Linked DNA regions of Mus musculus: all the other regions are reported to be linked to region 1. The links are microRNA targets in miRTarBase. Many come from high-throughput screens and were not tested one by one. Region 1 holds a microRNA gene; each other region holds the end of a gene's coding sequence.

Region 1 (3,184 bases):
TAACATTTTCTAAAAATAGTCAAATAAGACTCGACACCTGACAGAAAATGTAAAATTTCAATACTGTCCAACATTAATATTCCAGCCAATTATCAAATTTGGAAAATAACAGTGCAGACAAGGTTAGCTAGTAAAATAGTGATTGGAACCAGCATTGTAGAAAGCCGAGGAAAGGTAAGCTAAATCAGCAAGTAGACATCTTTCCCCTGTAGAATACCGTCCTGAAGTTATTCTCTTACTGTGAGGCAGGTGCAGCAAGAGCAGAGGTGCTTTTCCTCATGGAGAGTGAGTTTAAGTTATTGAGAGGTTTTTCTCATCAAAAACTATAGCCATGAGAAAAGTACATGTTTCATTGGATAAATAGGAGTTAAAATATGTCAGTGATGTGATGTTTAATCTAATTTCTTACTAAACACCAATCACTTTCAATCTCCTAAGAACTTCATGATAGTATTCTCCGTAATTTTATTCTAAGAATTTGAGAAATTTGGACTTATATTTTCTACAGAGAATTTTAGAAGGTTCTGGAAACCCCTCACATTGCGGTGCTTTGCTATTAATTGTGATTCGGATGGAAATTGCTTGATCGTAGTTCCAATTTTGTATATTGAGATAAGGCAATGATCATGGCTTAGAGTCTCAGCTCAGCAGCCTTGAAAAAATGATATCAAAAGCAATGACAGGTATGTATAGAAGCAATGGGATGCTGGCCTGAATATGATAGTGCAGTGGTCAAGCAAGGGAACATGAGCAACATGCATTCTGGTGAAACTGATAACACAGATGGTCCCAGGAAGACTTGCTTTCCTTCCACAAGAGACAGCCCTCTGCAGGAAAGCTATCTCAAAGGAAGCCACACAGGACTATTCAGATTCATCAGTTTTATGTCTTGTAACTATCTGAAGTCTGAATGCATGCCATCAGCAGATCGTTACCTTATCTACCTCAAAATACCAGCCAGAGACACTTGTCCTGTAATCTCTTCGTGTACAAGATAATAAATGATTACAGGTTTAGCATACAATATTCTAAGTAAATAAAATGAATATGTATAAAAATTTGGACTGAATGGTTCACCAATATTTTATTAATAGTTACACACACACACACACACACACACACACACACACACACACACACACACATATATATATATATATATATATATATATATATATATATATATATATACTTATTAAAGCCACTTAAGAGTCTACATAAGTATAATGTAGTAACTTTCTACCCTAGTTTTGAGGAGTACAAAGGGATTTTTGTTTAAGTTGATATTTGAAATCAGTTTTGAAGACATGCTCAATAGAGTTCATACTAACTTGTAAATGCACTTCATTTCAAGAACACCTAGGAAATGGATAGAAGTTACTGCCAGATCCACTCAATCAAAACAAATAACAATATTAGGATATAATAACCAAAGTGAGAGGAGTTGAATTTCAGGCAGTAGGCATAGGTTGTATTAATTTTCATTGTAGTTTAAAGTCTTGTGTCATAAGCAAAGAAAGATGTGCTAAATTGGTTTGATTCCTTGATTGTTTTAAAAATAAGTATGTTTAAAAGAAATTATACTAATTAAAATGCCTATTGTAAAATAAATGCTTATTCCATGCACATTGTAAACATAGAAGTTCAAAATTGTTAGCAATGTAACTTGAGAAAACCTAAGTGGTTTCTGCTTGATTCTGCATGACCTACATGCGTCCTTGCAGTTCTTATTATATACATACCAATATTTAAATTATGAGATACTTAGATACTATTTGTTTTGCTTTTTGATAGTTCCAATTTTGTTGAATGATAAATTCTCCCTGTCTTTAACAGCCTGTAACTAAGCTCCCCCCAAAAGGACTTTTCTTCCCTTTTGAAAAAAAAAAATCCGATTCTTTTCTTTGACACAGCACAAAGTGGAGGTTTGCCAAGCTCTGGGCTGGAGGAATCCTGCTTCTTTTCTTCTGTACTCTTTTGAAATGGTTTAAAATGTGTGACAGGTTTGGTTAAAGGATTGGGCTTTCCTCTGCCTCCCTCCTGCTCCAGACTCCCACAGATACTGTTTAAATCAGCACATCTCTGCCTCACAGGTTGCTTCAGTGAACATTCAACGCTGTCGGTGAGTTTGGAATTCAAATAAAAACCATCGACCGTTGATTGTACCCTATAGCTAACCATCATCTACTCCATGGCCCTCTGCGTTTGCTGAAGACAGAACCGCAAAGCAGGACCCGACAGGATTCTCCCCGCCTCTTCAGAGACTATGTTTACAAAGGTCACAATCAACATTCATTGCTGTCGGTGGGTTGAACTGTGTAGAAAAGCTCACTGAACAATGAATGCAACTGTGGCCCCGCTTTTTGCTGTCGCAATCAACAGACGTTCCCTCCCTAATAGAGGTCCTGGGGGTATTAACGCCGTTTCTCGGTTTAACTTCTGCTGTCTGAACTTTCAGGTTTGTTTATTCAATTCATATCAAGTCCTATTTCTGTGAGGAAGTCACTAATTTATATAAGAATACTGCTTTTCTATACTCCTGGGGGTTACAAATGGGGCATTTCTTAAAAATGCTAAAGTGTTGGATGCCCAGAATCAACTGTGTAGCCCTGGGTTGGCACGGCTTCCTGCTCTGCTGTGCTGGTGGGAGGAAGAACCAAAGAAATATCTTACTTCCTGCCCCGTTATCCGTCACATTGTTACACAGAAAATAACCATCCCCTCATCTTTCATTAGATTTCTTGGTCAAAATGGGCTTGAAGCAAGAGGGAATTCTTTTGCTCTGCATAAAGAATCGCTGAAATGGCTCTACTCTCTATGGAATTGGTAGGCAGAGGGATAGTACCTCAATAGCCAAGTACTTTGTTATCCAGGGGCTCATTATAATCATGCAATAGATTTGTTTCCCCAGAGAGACCTCAGATTTAAGATTATAGTTCATCATCTTTATTTACCCTCTACTTTCTTCTGAAATGGTAGACTTGATTCCAGGGACTGTCTTCAAGCAAGTGTGTGTGTGTGTGTGTGTGTGTGTGTGTGTGTGTGTGTGTGTGTGTGTTTCCTAACTAGTTTGGCTCTATAATTTCAAAAAGAACATCTGTCATTAAGGTTCATCACCTCCAATAGTAAGTACAGTGGTTGGAGTTAATATTTATAACAGGATGTTCAGCATACAGTGTGTACA
Region 2 (3,184 bases), not on the chromosome of region 1:
TTCTACTCATGAGACAGACTAGGTCTTGATAATTAAGATAATTTGCTGAACAGTACTACAGATTAGACACTGGAAATACTATTCTCCTCCTGACTGTTCTGAGAACTTGGTTGTTATCCCCTATGTAAAAAAAAAAAAAAAAAAAAAAAAAAAAAGAACAAACCCATTTTGAGCTGAACATGAACATGAAGAATATTTGTAAACATTTATTTATATCTTGGTTCCATTGTCTCAAAATATTTTCAGCCTCCTGGTTCATAAATAAATTTTCTTATTTGAATACAAAATATTAATATATTCTTACTGAGAAAGCATCATGGGATGTTGTAGTAGTGACAAGTCAACTAATTGAGGATGATAGGATTGTAATGAAGTAAATAATTCTCGGAAGTGCTCCGTGAAGAAGGGAGCTGTGTCTTCTCAGTATTCATCCCCAAATAATTCACATTTTGCTATTTTTATGCCACTGTGATTTTCATGCATTTTAATTTCTCCTTATTTCTTTATAGACAGAATAACCAGAACATTACAGATTATACTAGAAGTTGTACCAGAAGACTCTAAAGAATTATGAACTTAATGCATCAAAAGCTTGGCCATCTGCCCAGGATTGAGATACAAAATGGATTTTTATTTCAAGAAAACACAACGTTGATGATGGACTAAAGGAATCAGTTATCTCTATTCATATCCTCTAGCGTATTCAAATTAATTTCTGAGCAACTTACTGGTAACTCCATGTATTTGTAGCAAGCTAATATGCAAGTCATACAGTGAGGCAAGCTCACAGTTCTTGAGTCTAGTGCCTATCTGCTGGGGGGAAAGGAAAAAAAACCTAAGGGCTTTGGTACCTGGGCTATCATTCCTCTACCACGTTTCTTATCATGACTGAGAACCTTGAACAGAAGACCAAAATGGTTTCTGTATATATGAGGTCTATAAACATAGCTTTACCTACTGGGGACATCTATACTGTGAAAGTATTTTGTTTTTTATTTTTCTGGAAAAAAATGTCATTATTGTAGCAAAGAAGGTAGAATGACTTTGATATTGACATTGGACTCTTTTCCCTTAGTGATCAACATGGCTGTCACTTATCTTTCAATGGCTTATACTCAGAGCATCAGAACAAAAGATGAGGGAGTAGTGTGTGTGAGTGTGTGTGTGTGTGTGTGTGTGTGTGTGTGTGTGTGTGTGTGTGTGTGTGTGTGTAGCTTGAGATCAAATTCAGGGCTTTACAAAAGCCAGACAAGCACTCTACCATTGAAATACACATACACCCTAATTTTCCTAAATGCATAAAATAAGTATTTCCAGGGGTTAGTATTCATGACACAATCCTAGGAACTATGTTTGTACTAAAATCATTGAGAACTTGTTAGGTTAACTTCATCATAGCTCATTGTGAGGAAGCTCGGTGTTTGCAACATCACTGTGCATTCATTGTGGTTTGTTTTTTTCCTGAAAATGTGTACAGTTTGGTATGCTATCCATTGGTGAACCACCTCTTTGATAATTTACTTCTTGGTGGACAAAAATGTTTTCCTCATCACAGTACAACATCAGCATGGGAGACATTGCCCATAAATCTCCAAGTATCAGGCTTTCTCTTTATGAGCCCCATTTATATGCAGTGTTAGTAATTACTCACTTTTACTTTGTGGCTGTTTTCACCTGGTGATGAGTTTTTGACAGTGTGTGCATTCTCTTTACAGTTCTGTTAAAATATGCCTCTGGTTAAAACTATCTGGATCAATTAGGAAAAGTGCAGATTTACATAAAAACTATGAACGAAATGCCACTGCTTCGTGAAAATCTAGGCTGTTTCAGTCATTTCTTCACTTTAGTTATAATTCAATTTGCAAAAGAGGGAGATGTGACCAAACCCATTGAAGGAGAGTCTTCAGTACGGTTGTTCAGCTAGCTACATATGTTAAATCAGAGTTAGAAAACAGTAGCCATATTCAAATGGAATTAATGCAATGGTGGGATTTTCAAAATATTTTTCTAACATCCAAAAATTAAATGCTCAGCATAGTCACAGTTAATTTCATCTCTTATATTCTGACCACGTAAAACCACAATGTTTTAAAAAATTATCCTGAACTGGGCATTGGCCAGGTCACCACCAAGTACCACAGTGGGAGGCTGGTAGTTAATGCCAACCTTGAAGCCAGTGGGGCACCAATCTATAAACTGGATGCTGTGCTTGGTCTTGATGGTGGCAATGGCAGCATTGACTATTTGGGACCCACATAACCACGGTACAGCAGGCAGCAAGCCATGTATTTACCATGGCAAGGGTCATATTTCACCATCTGGTTGGCTGGCTCAAAGCAGGCATTGGTGATCTCTGCTACAGAAAGCTGCTCATGGTAGGCTTTCTCAGCAGAGATGACAGGGGCATAAGTGGCCAGAGGGAAGTGGATACGAGGGTAGGGTACCAGGTTGGTCTGGAATTCTGTCAGATCAACATTCAGGGCCCATAATCAACGGAGAGACACTCCATCAGCAGGGAGGTGAAGACAGAGCCAGTTCCCCCACCAAAGCTGTGGAAAACCAAGAAGCCCTGGAGATCCGTGCACTGGTCAGCCAGCTTATGAATCCTGTCCAGGACAAGGTCAATGACCTCCTTGCCAGTGGTGTAGCGGCCACGGGCATAGTTATTGGCAGCATCCTCCTTGCCTGTGATGAGCTGCTCAGGGTGGAAGAGCTGGCAGTAGGTGTCAGTGAGAACTTCATTGATGACTGTGGGTTCCAGGTCTATGAACACTGCCTGACGCACATGCTTGTCATCTCCTGTCTCACTGAAGAAGGTGTTGAAGGAGTCATTTCCTCCCCCAATGGTCTTGTCACTTGGCATCTGGCCATCAGGCTGGATGCCATGTACCAGGCAGTAGAGCTTCCAGTAGGCATTGCTGATCTGGACACCAGCCTGGACAACATGGATGGAGATGCACTCACGCATGATATCAATTGCTTAGAGGGTGAGGGTGAGAGAGAGAAGCAGACACTGGGTCTCGATTACCATTCCCGACAACTAAGAGTCGACATAAGTAACGCAATGAGGCCATAAAACAGGTTTTAAATTCAGGAATACTCCTCCACACTTGTAATATGTGTTTTTATACAAAGTAAATGTTTCTCATATTTTAGATTTATATATGTATATACACATGCAATT
Region 3 (3,184 bases), not on the chromosome of region 1:
ACTGTAGAGTCGATGACCAGCCAGTCTAGCCTAACTGGAAAGCTTCAGGATGAGAAACCCTGCCTAAAAGGCGGATGGGTTTCCTAAGACTAATACCCAAGGTTGTCCTCTGGTCTCCACGTGCACATGCAAACATTCACTCACTCACACACACACACACCCCTCCATGTGCACATGCAAACATTCACACACACATTACAAAAAGGAAGTGAAGGGACGTTTTAAGCACACACAAGTCCAGCCATGAACATGTTATTTTTTTAATAAAAGCCTTACATAAATGATATTTTAATGTTTTTAATAAAAGCCTCTAATACAAGGCCCCAGTGTAGTGCATGCGCATCAATGACCATCTTGCTGACAGTCATCATGATTACCAGCACACCGAGCTCCTCTAGTCTGACCTCGTACCGAGGCCAATTCCACAATTTGAACCGCATGGCATAGCTACACAATATGGCTCATGATGACTTAGAAAGATGTTTTACTGTCTGACGACAAAGACATGATATGTGGTAAGTGCAGTGATGAGGCTCCAGTTCCTTAGTGTTGTTAGAAGGGAATAAGCAAGAAGCCTGTCCACTATGAACAGGACCTACACCTAAGGGATCTGCCAACACCGTATCAAGGACGTGCTCCATCCTTGGGAATCATCGAGTATTCACCCACGGTAAGAAGCTGGCACTGTGGTTCCCTCACAGGCCAAACCCCCTCTGCAAACCAACTCTGACCTGCATGCATTCTGGGAGCTGATCCAGACAAGGGGCAGACAAGTCTCTCGTGTTCTGTTGGACTTTCAGAATATGGTCAGCGAGGAATTCAATGAGAAACTCAGGAAACCCTCTGGGATCTGGGTTCACCCGGTTTAATAGTCAGTCAGTCTAAAAGCATTTGTTTTCTCCATGCTCTCAGTCAGACTGCTACCTGGGGTGAGTTCCAGAAAGAAGTACATTTAATAAGTCACTAGATAATTTTTTTCTCAATTTTTATTTTTGTTTATTTATTTATTTGTTTGTTTTTTGAGACAGGGTTTCTCTGTGTAGCCCTGGCTGTCCTGGAACTCACTCTGTAGACCAGGCTGGATTGGAACTCAGAAATTCCTGCCTCTACTTCCCAAGTGCTGGGATAAAAGTCATGTGCCACTACTGCCCATCGAGTCACTCACAGCTAATTAAGAAGCCCAGTCTTATAAGAAAAGCATTGTCTACAGTTGTACCACCCTGAACACCTGATTTGAGTCTGGAAAAGTAATGGTGGAAACCAGAATTTAGCTTCATTCTTGTGTTAGCACTGCCTCTTTGTCCATGACACAATAGCAGACCAAGCAGGGCAGATATGGTGGGCATGCCTGGAGCCTGGGCTTTAGAAAGAGGTAGCCTGCCCCAGGTAACATAAAATGCCAGGCTGCCTACCTTCCAGAACATCTTGACACCAACAGAGCTGGCAAATGGCTGGTAATCTACTAGCAGGCCAGTAAACACCTGTCAGCAGAACTCAAAGGGTTCATACGCTCCCTCCTTCTCCAGCCCTTCCCATAGCCCCATACAGGGCTCTCTATCCAGCCAAAGCCCCAACATGTACTAATGAACTGGGATTAAAGCTGCCAACATAGAGATCTTTGCACCCAGATAACATTCTTACCACCTAGATGGATCTTCACCAGAATGTGACAGAAGACTTTCAGCTTATACACCAGTAACCAACAAAAGGCATGGCCCAGAGAAAGCTGAGGGGAAAGTGACTAGTGGACAGTTATTGTCCATTAACTAAAGAGTATCATCACCAAAGAAATTACCCAGAGCTGAGCACACCAAGAACCTTACAAGGTCATCTGTCAATCGATCTGTTCCTGTAAACCAAAGTACTAAGCTACATAACTTCCCTTTCTGTTTTCTATCAAGAGTTCAAGTACTTCAGGGCTGTGGAATGGTCTCAGGCTGTGCCTCAAATATTTCCATTTCTCAGTACATCTTACCAGTTTCCCAGGTCAGGATAAACCACAAGGAAGAGGGCTGACTGGAGGGCCTTGAAGTTACTAGAATCATCCTGACTCAGAAGTGTTCCATCACCTGCTAATACTCCACAGAAGCTTCCCAGTCACAATTCCAAATCAACAGGCCCTTGAATGTGACCTGCAGAACGGTCATTCTACCAAAGACCTGGAAGGAGGTTCCCAGGGGATCAGACAGCTGCATAAGTAGAAACTTCTCCAAACCATAACATCCGCCAAAAAGTTGAACACTACTATCTCACAGTCAAGCTCACACTGACACCACCAGCCCACTACCCTCACACTTGGGAATTTTACTTCCTTTAACTGGGAGGGGACAACACTGGCAACATTCCTGCCATCCATAAAGAGGCCCTGGTCCCACTGGGCTTCACAGCAGTATCTCCCTAAGTGACGTGCTGAAAGGGAACAACCAAGTCAGGACAGACTTCTGCTAGAGCCCTGCCTATCCTGGCTACAGGAAGGGCCTGTCAAGGGCTGCCCTATAATACTGCATAATGACCAACAACAGTCCGCAGAAAATGAACTAAGAGGTGCCCATGAGCCATTTCTGCCTTGGCCCAACAGAGCTGTATCTTGAAAATAAAATGGTAAAGTCCCCTGAAAATGGAATACTTCATTAAAAAAAGAATACAGAAAAACCAGCACATGAATGCCGATTGTTTTTCCCGTTCTTGCTCAACTGTAGTGGAAATGTCTCAAAGTGCACAGCAAGAGACTACTGTTCCCACCCCAACCTGTGTGTGTTCAGATGCCTGCCCATCCCCACCTCACACTTGATATCCTGCTGCCCAAGACTCTGCCCAGTTCCTGCCCATTGCTGTCAATTAGGGGCCCCCTTCTGCTTAGCCAGGGTGCACTTCAGCTCCCGGAGGTTCTCCGTTAGAACCTCAACCTCGTCCATTCGCCCACACTGCTTGGCATCAAAGATGTAAGCCTTGATGTTGTCAATTTGCTGCAGGAGCAGCTCCTCCTCGATGTGTTCCTCGGCCTCCATGCCACTATCACTGTCCACCTCGAAGGGGTTGGTGGAGGGGCACTCTTCAAAAGGGTTTCCAGGGGCGGCTGGACTGGCAGGCCTGGGACCGTCATCCTCATCAAAAGGGTTGGGTGCTGGACTGTCTGGGTCGGTGAAGGGATTTCCTGCCCCCAACTCTGCCACCTCCTCTTCCT

The links. The annotated mature microRNA mmu-miR-181a-5p reads AACAUUCAACGCUGUCGGUGAGU and lies in region 1 at 2,106-2,128, shown strand. An mRNA with a match to its seed (bases 2 to 7 or 8) in the 3' UTR can be bound and repressed. Matches are read on the target gene's strand: a 7mer-m8 pairs with bases 2 to 8, a 7mer-A1 pairs with bases 2 to 7 and ends in A, and an 8mer does both.
Region 2: the mRNA of Slc7a11 is a reported target of mmu-miR-181a-5p. The part of its 3' UTR that is shown has no 7-base or 8-base seed match.
Region 3: the mRNA of Rbsn is a reported target of mmu-miR-181a-5p. The part of its 3' UTR that is shown has no 7-base or 8-base seed match.

Annotation. Positions count from the first base shown.
Region 1 is chr1:137,964,363-137,967,546 of GRCm38, forward strand. It overlaps Mir181a-1 (microRNA 181a-1), which reads left to right and starts at 2,093; the gene lies at 2,093-2,179. Mir181b-1 (microRNA 181b-1) reads left to right here and starts at 2,277; the gene lies at 2,277-2,356.
Region 2 is chr3:50,369,692-50,372,875 of GRCm38, reverse strand. It overlaps Slc7a11 (solute carrier family 7 (cationic amino acid transporter, y+ system), member 11), which reads left to right. Exons shown (of 12, transcript NM_011990.2): 12 at 510-3,184. The coding sequence ends at 574. Among named protein-coding and RNA genes, the nearest start is that of Slc7a11, 72 kb to the left of the region's middle.
Region 3 is chr6:92,186,476-92,189,659 of GRCm38, forward strand. It overlaps Rbsn (rabenosyn, RAB effector), which reads right to left. Exons shown (of 12, transcript NM_030081.3): 12 at 237-3,184. The coding sequence ends at 2,835. Among named protein-coding and RNA genes, the nearest start is that of Mrps25, 4.0 kb to the left of the region's middle.